Linked DNA regions of Arabidopsis thaliana. The protein of the gene in region 1 interacts with the protein of each later gene in a pairwise test. Each region holds a gene or a part of one and is shown on either strand. Other genes may lie near its edges.

Evidence for each region.
Region 2: the proteins of AT1G32580 (region 1) and AT1G06510 interact in a two-hybrid assay, tested with the Arabidopsis thaliana proteins (one large-scale study listed by BioGRID).

The regions. Positions count from the first base shown.
Region 1 is NC_003070.9:11,781,392-11,786,289, reverse strand, and holds AT1G32580 (plastid developmental protein DAG), read right to left. Parts: upstream 2,748-4,898; 5' UTR 2,183-2,747; coding exon 1,803-2,182; intron 1,713-1,802; coding exon 1,615-1,712; intron 1,533-1,614; coding exon 1,467-1,532; intron 1,006-1,466; coding exon 860-1,005; 3' UTR 586-859; downstream 1-585. Other genes in the region: AT1G32575 (uncharacterized protein), read right to left, coding at 4,657-4,740. UniProt on the Arabidopsis thaliana protein: Involved in organellar RNA editing. Required for the processing of few RNA editing sites in mitochondria.
Region 2 is NC_003070.9:1,990,246-1,994,584, reverse strand, and holds AT1G06510 (forkhead-associated domain protein), read right to left. Parts: upstream 2,357-4,339; 5' UTR 2,197-2,356; coding exon 2,040-2,196; intron 1,879-2,039; coding exon 1,679-1,878; intron 1,562-1,678; coding exon 1,125-1,561; intron 1,042-1,124; coding exon 1,002-1,041; 3' UTR 744-1,001; downstream 1-743. Other genes in the region: GPAT1 (glycerol-3-phosphate acyltransferase 1), read left to right, coding at 1-415; AT1G06515 (transmembrane protein, putative (DUF3317)), read left to right, coding at 2,617-2,701, 3,070-3,142, 3,622-3,634; AT1G06500 (uncharacterized protein), read right to left, coding at 3,999-4,339.

The DNA.
Region 1 (4,898 bases):
TTGTTTCCCTTTCACTTTCTCTAATCCATGACACAAGAAGACAGTGGGACTATAAGGCTGAGAATTCCTGCATTACAAACACACAAAAAGATGATAATATACTAAAAACCAAGAATCCATTTCACGCTTTAGCTGCTGCATATCAACTAATGTTTTCTCTACCTTACCATAATCACATTAACCATCTACCAAAATGCTCTAGATCCTAATATCAAGAAGCCGCACCACAAGAACTATGCTCTCTTTAAGAGTTGCAAAATCCATTCATGAGATTATCATAAGTCACTTCGTTTGAGAAACAACACTTTGCTTACCAAATGTAGTGACTTATAATACTCTCATAAACAATCCTCAGAACAGTTAAAGAATTTACCCTTTTGTTGTTGACACCAAAGAATCGCCATGGATCGATTTTTGCTTCAAGCTGATTCGGATTGGAATCAAAATCCTCTGTTTAGTGAGTAAACTCTGTACGGCGTGCCCTAATAGAATTTGTTGAGTGGAGGAGAAGAGAGTTATTTATAGTCTAGGTAACGAAACCGGTTAAGTCACGGTTTAAACTTCTCAACCCGGTTTAGTCAAATAATTGGAAATAACCGGTGTTACCTAAATATACTCACCAATGGGCCTCACCAATTCAATGATTTGGTTTTATTTTCATAATTCGAGAAAACCATAGTTCAAAGGCCAAATTATGTATATGCAATGATAATAGTTTTAGCCAATTCCAAGTTCTAAAATCCAAACTACAAAGCCATTACATAAGGAGAGAGAGACCTCAAAACAGAAAACATCTGTTGCTTGCAGACACATGAACATTGAACAACAACTTCTGTATGGTCTGATATCAGATTTGGATTCAACGCATGTTCTCTCTTCTTCGGACATATCTGGTCTTGTCGTGGTACTTTGGTTTATCATTGGTTCTCTGGGTCGTTAACTCAATGATCTTTCTCTGTCTCTCTGGAGGACGTTGAACTATTTCTCCATTCACAAACAGCTCAGCTGCACAATACGTTAGAAGAAGAGTTTGATTACGCAGTGAACTTAACAAGTAAACCAAAACAGAGACGCTAGTTTAAAGATTTGACCCTCGAGCTTCAGCTATCAAACAAACAGCTTCTCTATCAAACAAACAGACTAAAGATCGGTGTCAAAGATGACACTTAAGGCTGGAATCAAAATGTTTTGGCTTCTCTACAGGGAACAACTCATGGAACACACAAAAGTGACACAGAAGAGTCTTATGTCTAGTTGAGTGCAGGAAACGGATTCTACTTCCACACTCCACAGTCTTAACATTAACAACGCCTGAGATTTTGTGCTTAATTGAGAGTAGATATATGAAAATTCTAGTTCTAAGCTTAGTCTTGATCGATTATGACACAAAACAGAACACACAGAGAACTACGAAACATAGACTGTGTTAAAGCAATCACTAACAACAGTATTAACATAAAACTCACCTCCGTAATCTTTGTTCTCTTGATCAACATAAGAGTCTGGTAAAATGAAGAGAACACCAGGAAGTCCTGAAACACACACACAATAATCAACAACCATCCATTACATCGCCAACATTACAACAACAACAACAACAACAACAAGACATACCTTCAAGTTTGTTTGATGTCTCTTCATCAATCTCACAACCAAATCCAAAATACCTTTCACACGATACATTATAAATCTTCTTCTTAGCTTCTTCCTCACTGATTAAACAAACAACAAGAGATTATTAATTACAATAACTAAATGCTTCTTCTAACTAATGAATCAACGAAATTGAAAGAAACCCTAACCTGCCGATAATTTTAGCTAGGGTTTGAACATAACAATCAATCATTTGCTGCTTAGTAGCGTTTTCGCCTCCAGGTTTGTCCATTACAATCAACCAATGCTCATAATCGCAGCCAGGAAACAACGGCGCCATCTCAGTGGGTGCTCGGTCGCTGAAATTCGAACCGGATTTTAGAGGAGAGTACGATCCACCGGACCTATCCATTCGAGTTCGAATCGTTGTGAAACGATTCAAGGAAGAGATGAATCCGACGGCATGGGAGAACACCGGGGTTGATCGACGGGAGAGGATATAAGAAGGGGAAGGAGTGGTGGCTCCGGAGGTGGAGATTAAGCGCTTGGTGATGCGTGACGCTGTGGAGCGAGCTAGGGTTTTCGCCATTGGAGATCAGTGAGGTCAGAGTCTGAGAAATGACTAGACTAGGGTTTAAGTGAAAACCATCGAAATGACTAAATCAGATGATTCTTTAATTCTAAATGGGCCAATGGGTTAGCAGAAAAACAAAATGGGTTAATGGGCCGAATCGTTTTATCATAAGTGAAATAAAACCCGTATAGGTAAGTTTTTGATAAATTAATCCTACCATTTCACCGTTTGAGGAGGTTAAATCTGAGAAAACAAAATTCACACTAGGTTAGCTATGGAAATGGGTTTTCTTTTTCGTCTTGGAAAAGGGTTTTGAAATAACAAATGTTTTATTGTTTTGGTTCGAGTGCAATTACAACAAATCTCTATATATGTTAAATAAAAAAAATCAATAATGGAGAGGTGAACATACAATTGTGAGTAAGACATTCGATTAGGGGATTTGCATATGAAGATTTGGAGATTGATCAGAGAGAGAAGTTGGATTAGATGTTTGGAATTTTGGCATTAGTATGAAATAGATGGATTTGAGTTAAGAGAAATGTGTCTCTCATTAACAACCACAATTCTCTTTATATATGTCTTTTATTTTTCTAATATATATGGTATCTCGACTGACTCAAAGTTTCACGGTAAGATTTATGTTTTCCTTAAAATTTTACGTCTTTGTTTAGAATTCACCATTCACGATTAGATTTTTGCAGCATATGACACATACAACTTTTTAGAAGTTATTTCCCAGAACCAACAAATCTATGAAATTATCACAAAAAACTCAGATCAAGGGTATAAATGGGAAGTGTCAACCCGGATTTTTAGTCAAATTATATTTCTCTATAATTGTTTGATTAATAGAAAAACTTTTTTACTAATAGATATGCTAAACATGTACATATTTTGGCAGTTTTATTTCTAATAATTAGTCAAAATATTTTTAAATAGCTTTATTAATAGAAAAAATTTGAACAATAAAATACAAGTAAGGGAAAATAACACATCATATTTGTCTTATGTTTTAATTTTTTTAAATAAAATTAATAATACTAAATATATAAATAAAAGAAAAATTATGTTAAAATAGATTTATCTACATATACATTTTTGCAGCACTTTTATGAAATAAATCCTCAAGTTGGGATTTATTTACCATCCAATGCCATTAGCATTTAATATTTTAACAAATTTCTTCTCAAATCTAAATATAAATCAATTTTGTTACTAAAATTTAGAATTAAAATAAATATATCACAACAATCATTTAAATCTTTTCAAATCTAAAATGTACTACACACTAATATTCTTTTTTAAGGGGATCTATTAGCATTAATGGTATATTATTATTGATATATTTTAACTTTATAAAACATTATTAATATTTATCCTTATAAAAAGATATTAAAATATTATGAGACGAGTTATATAGTGGGACGGGTTTGCATTGATATAACACGGGTTAAATCTTTATTTATTATTCTATCATCACTAATTTTTTTTTACAATATTAATATAAAATTATATAATTTTAATACTAAATTTAAAACCGTAAAATTTAAGATTACTATATATAAATAAAATATTTGCCCCGTGGTATACCACAGGTTAAATCCTAGTAGTATAGTATTTTTGCATTACTAATGTTAGTATTAAAGCAATCTATAACTCCCGCGGGGGTTTGTTTTTAAAATATATAAAATAATATCATTAGTTAAGATAAAAACTTATCTTCTACCAAATTTCCTCATAAATATTTATTTCCTTACTTTCCTCTATATATATCCTTTTAATCCACAAAGCATTAAAGCCTTTTTCCTATATACAAATAGATATTATTCGTCTAAGATTAAGTTTTCAGAGAACACTACAACAACAAGGTGACTGCATCGTTTATTTTCTTTCTATTAATCTAGGGTTCGTCTTCTCTCACTTGCCCGATTGAATCGAACGTTTTGTGATATATTTAATCTGATTTTTGTTTCGTTATATGTTGATTCATAGATTTGAAATCTCCCCCAAAAAAAAACTGCATCTAGAGCCATATTCGATGAATCCTTCAGACATCTCGACCATCTCAAAAAAGATGAAATCAATGTCAATGGCTCACGGTGTTATCCGTAACAATAAGAGATTACTACAATCTAGATATTCTCTTTACCTTTTAGGTCAGTCAATAATATTCCTTACACTAAAGAGACTGATCTCACCAATGAGAAGCAGAAAGATGAGGCTGAAGGACTAGGGGTTGAGCTCTCGCTTTTAGTGGCTGAAGCAATCTTCCTACTATCTGATGACATATATTCTATGTTACTCTTAAGATAATATTGAAGTATACAGGGAACAAAGAAAGAAAGAATCCAACACAAGTGAAAAAAATATTGATTAATGTTATGATGTTTATACGTGTTTGAAACATATATCAAACCTAAGAATGGAGTCTGTCGGTATGATGGGAAATCCACTCAGCTGATCAACGTGTCTACCTATCATTTCGCTTACGGGATCAGGAATTTGGAGCGCATTGTTTTGATTCTCGTAAATGGTGTGCCACCATTTATTTTGAAAACTACAACCAAGAGCTGAAGAATATAGAGGAGAAGTTGAGTTCTTCCAGAATTGTTTTAGAGGCGAATGGATTTGCGAGAGAAGCGATGGAATCTAACATTATTCATTTGTGGAAGTTTTAGAAGGATTGGTTGTCAACTCTTAGGTTGCAAGTAGTTGTAATTTTCCGAGT
Region 2 (4,339 bases), 9.8 Mb from region 1:
AGACGGTGAGGCAATGCAGAGACTATTAAGCAAAGGAGATCTAGTGGTTTGTCCGGAGGGAACCACATGTAGAGAGCCTTATCTACTAAGGTTCAGTCCTTTGTTCGCTGAGTTAACTGAAGACATTGTTCCCGTGGCTGTAGATGCTCGAGTGAGCATGTTCTATGGGACAACTGCGAGCGGGCTCAAGTGTTTAGACCCTATCTTCTTCCTCATGAACCCTAGGCCGGTTTATTGTCTTGAGATTTTAAAGAAGTTGCCAAAAGAGATGACTTGTGCAGGAGGCAAGTCAAGCTTTGAAGTTGCGAATTTCATACAGGGAGAACTTGCTAGGGTTTTGGGATTTGAATGCACTAATCTCACAAGGAGGGATAAGTACTTGGTTCTTGCTGGAAATGAAGGCATTGTCAGATAAACTATTCCGAATTTTCATTAGTTTTTTTGTTTGTTTGAAAAGCTAAATATTATTGTTATTTCAGGACTTAGATGTTTAATTCTATATGGTTGATTCATTGGCATCATTTCTATTTCTTATCACTCGGGACCATTGATATGTATTGAAAATGTTTGCTTTATATGATTTTGTTTCTGGATTTGTATAGTCCATAATCTCAACCTGTCGCTTTAGTGCCATTAATTTTATTCCTAGAACAAATGAAATGATTTCAGAGTTAGTTGAAATCAATATTAATTGTATACATCTAATCTAATAGTATGTTATTCACTTATTATTTACTTAATGATGCTCCTAAGTATTGATATCACATTAATAATCATGATCCCATATCACAACAACATTAACGTGAACGACCATATTAACTTCATATCACATCAAAATTTAATGTATCACCTTAGAAGATATTAATATTCACACCAAGAAAATGACTATACCTGTCTAAACAGAATGATTAAAGAAAGGAAAATTGCTAGATTAACTTTTCATACCAAGAGTGGCTTCCTTTCTTTAGTTCACTGCGCTGGTAAGTAATGCTTGAAGCACACTAACTGATGTTTGCCTCTTTGCAAATGATATTTGCGATTCTACACAAGCAAAACAAAACTTAATGGACTGAGTAATTCTGCAGTGTTAGAAGTAAAACTTAGTGATGCTTTGAATGCATTACCTTTCCCTCACACGACGAATCTCTTCAAGAATTTCTGCAGTCTGCTGAACCTTAAGATTCTTGGGTTTATCTTCATGATTAAGCACCAAGGATGCAACATTTACAACAGTAACTAGTTCAGCTTCGATTCTGCTAAGTTTCTGGTCTAAATTTTCCAAGAAAGATTCATAAGAAGACACTTCTTTCAGGATGCTACCTATTGAAACATCTTCTAGTACATTATTATTGGTATCAAGAAGTTCTTGGTAATCCTCAACATTCCTTTCAATAAGTTGAATTCCCTCAGAATCCAAGTGAGTGTGGTCATTTTCGACCCCGTCTTCAGTAGATTCGGGCTTTGGCGATACAATGTGGATACCACCTGAAGTATTCTCTCCATCCTCTTCGAGATCCAAAGATATATTGCCTATCAGCTGTGTTTCCTTGACAGATATTGCCTGAAACCAAACCAAGCTTTCAAGACATAGTTAGATAGATTTCTGGGGCAATTGAAAACAAACAAACAACCAAAACAATAACATTTCTTAACAAGTAAGAGTATTGTTTGTTTGTACCTCGTTAAGTTTGGAAGAAAGCGTATCGAGCAACTCGATACGAGCTTTAGCCTTGTCCAAAGCTTGCATAACTTTTTTCTTCTGAAGAAGTAGATCTCTGGCATCATTCTCTTTCCCTGTTCGAACATTGACAGCTGCTTGTTCCCGTAGATTCTCTGCAGCCTCAGATAATCTCAAAAGTCTCAACCTATTACTGTTTGCTGGACCAACAACAACAAAGACCAAAAATAAATCAAATTGACATCATCAATCACTGGATTCACAAGCAGTAAAACCATGCTGAAACCAGCACCTCATCTTTCCAAAGTCTACGACTTTGAAATCACACATTAAAACGAAGATTAGCGAATAAAGATTCCACCTTTGGCACGAGTGGACTCTGCCTCCGCGTGAAGCCGATCAAGCTGGGAGCGAAGAAGGTCAGAATTTGCGGTGGCAGAGAAGCATCTCAGGCTCGTTGGAATCCTCCGAGACTGAGCAATCACCACCGGAACTCCGCCGATGGTCGTCGTCACCATGTTTGGTCTTCTTACAAAGCGCACACGTTCTGTGACATTGCAGTCTCCGTTATCCGGTTAGTTCTACAAACCGATTTTGAATACCTGGTTCATCTAAACCGGTAATTAAGACTAAACCGGGGTGGGAAAATGAATTGAGGATGAGATTAGTATTTACCGTGACAGAGTTTTCCAACTTTGACGTCTCCGTCAAAATTTGATTTCTCTTCTGTATTTGACGACGACACTTCAATCAAAATCTGGAGTCAGATACAGTTCCCTAGATCGAGAATCTCCAGGCGCTTTGTAATCCTGTTTAGTATATCTTTGTCAAGTTCTCTGTCAGAGATTTACCGGGTAAATTTTGAATCTTGGATCAGGTTTTTGTCAATTTCAGATTTGTAATCTCCCGCTTCTTACTGTAGGAATCGATCAGAAGATATGAACTGGGTTCAACGCAAAATCTACCTTTATAATGTCACATTCGGGCTCTACATGCTTGATTGGTGGGAACGATACCTCTTCAGTATCCTTTTTTCCTCACTCTATCCCTCCATGCTTCATTCGTTCTCTCCATCGATTTTGGTTTATCTGTGCTCCAATTTCGATTTACCCTTTCATTAGAAAGATGCAAGTTTTGATTTTTACATCTTTGGTGATATATGGTGGCATTGTGTTCTGTTCTCTTGTGTTGTCGTCTTAAGCATTGTGTCTGTTCAATTTTAGAATTTTGTTTTTAAAAAGCTACTTTCTTAAAATTTTGTCTTCAACTTCAGAGTTTGGATTATAGTCTCTACTGAATAATATACTGTCAATTGAGATAATTTTTTGCTAGTTTACAAGGACTTAAGATCTTTGCTTGCATCTTCTTTGCCTTTCCTCAACTCTTTTCAGATTCTTTGGTGGTTGTTTTGATGTGGTTCGTTTTATACAACGGTACTCGCTACTTTTCGGAGCTTTTCCAGAGGTAAAACACTTGATGATGCTCTTTGCGCACACCTTAAGCTTGTTAAGGTTTCCTTGACACTAATTTTGCTATTGTTGTAACAATTTTTGGTACTTATCTAGTTCTTTTTGCTACTTTGGTCTTATGGTTTCATTAGCGGGTTTCTAAGTGATGAGTGTTATGATACAATATGCTGTTTGGCCTCATCTTCATCTCTGAAACAAGTTTCACGGTTTCCCATGATTCGTAGTATATGTTTTCACAAAAGGATAAGTCCATCATTTACTTAAACATTATCCTACCTTCTCTTGTGCATTTAGTTAGGGTAGATATTAAGCCTCCCCAGAAGGTGATTGGATTGGAGTTAGAGAAGTCTTTAGTTTGCCTGATGGACTTACTGCTGCTGCTTGCTATCTGAATCTTATTATGCTGATTGTTCGAAACTTTTGAGAAGCAATTGAAGCTCTTTCATGATAATTTCTTGTATCCTCGCATTGCAGGCATTTGACATGAAAACATGTCTTGTTTCTCGCACAGTAGAGCACGAAAAGCCTAGATCATCCAAAGGCATGTACGTTTGGTTCCAATTTCTGAGACGTATACCAGCAAAAATCCCTCTTTCGGCGTCACCTCTGTTTTTGTTAATTTTCCTCCAAAGGCTCTAGGACAGTTCTTATGTCTCTATATTATTTGTTCCCATGTTTTTGCAATTAACAGAAATGATTTTGTAGACTCGTAAGATCGCAAGTCTTCCTGTTGTATTTCCAGTTCACTTAGAGACATAATAACATAGTTGCAGGAGTTAATGAACTTGCGGATTACATATAACAGAGCATAATTTTTAAGAGGGAGCTCTGTTCTAAATCTACAAACGAACTTAGGAAGAATCAGGGGTAACCCAATCCTTTGGCATTGCAGAGTTGAAGATCTGAAACAGCAAAGCTTGATCTCTCTTGCCTGGTCTTTTTGAACCAAATCCTTGATGCAGACCAAGTTCAACCGCTTCTCTTCCTTCTTCCGCTATTCTTTTCCTAATAGCTACCAAAGAATTTTGCGTCTCATCACAAGCTGCTACATGTCCATTTTCAGTGTTCTCTCCTCCACCATCTTCTCGTCCGCCTTTCTCTGCCCTTCCCCACCATTTGTTTGACACAGTTGTTAACCCGCCTGATGGGAATCCAAATTTGAACTCATCTACAGCTGCCACTGTCTTTGCCA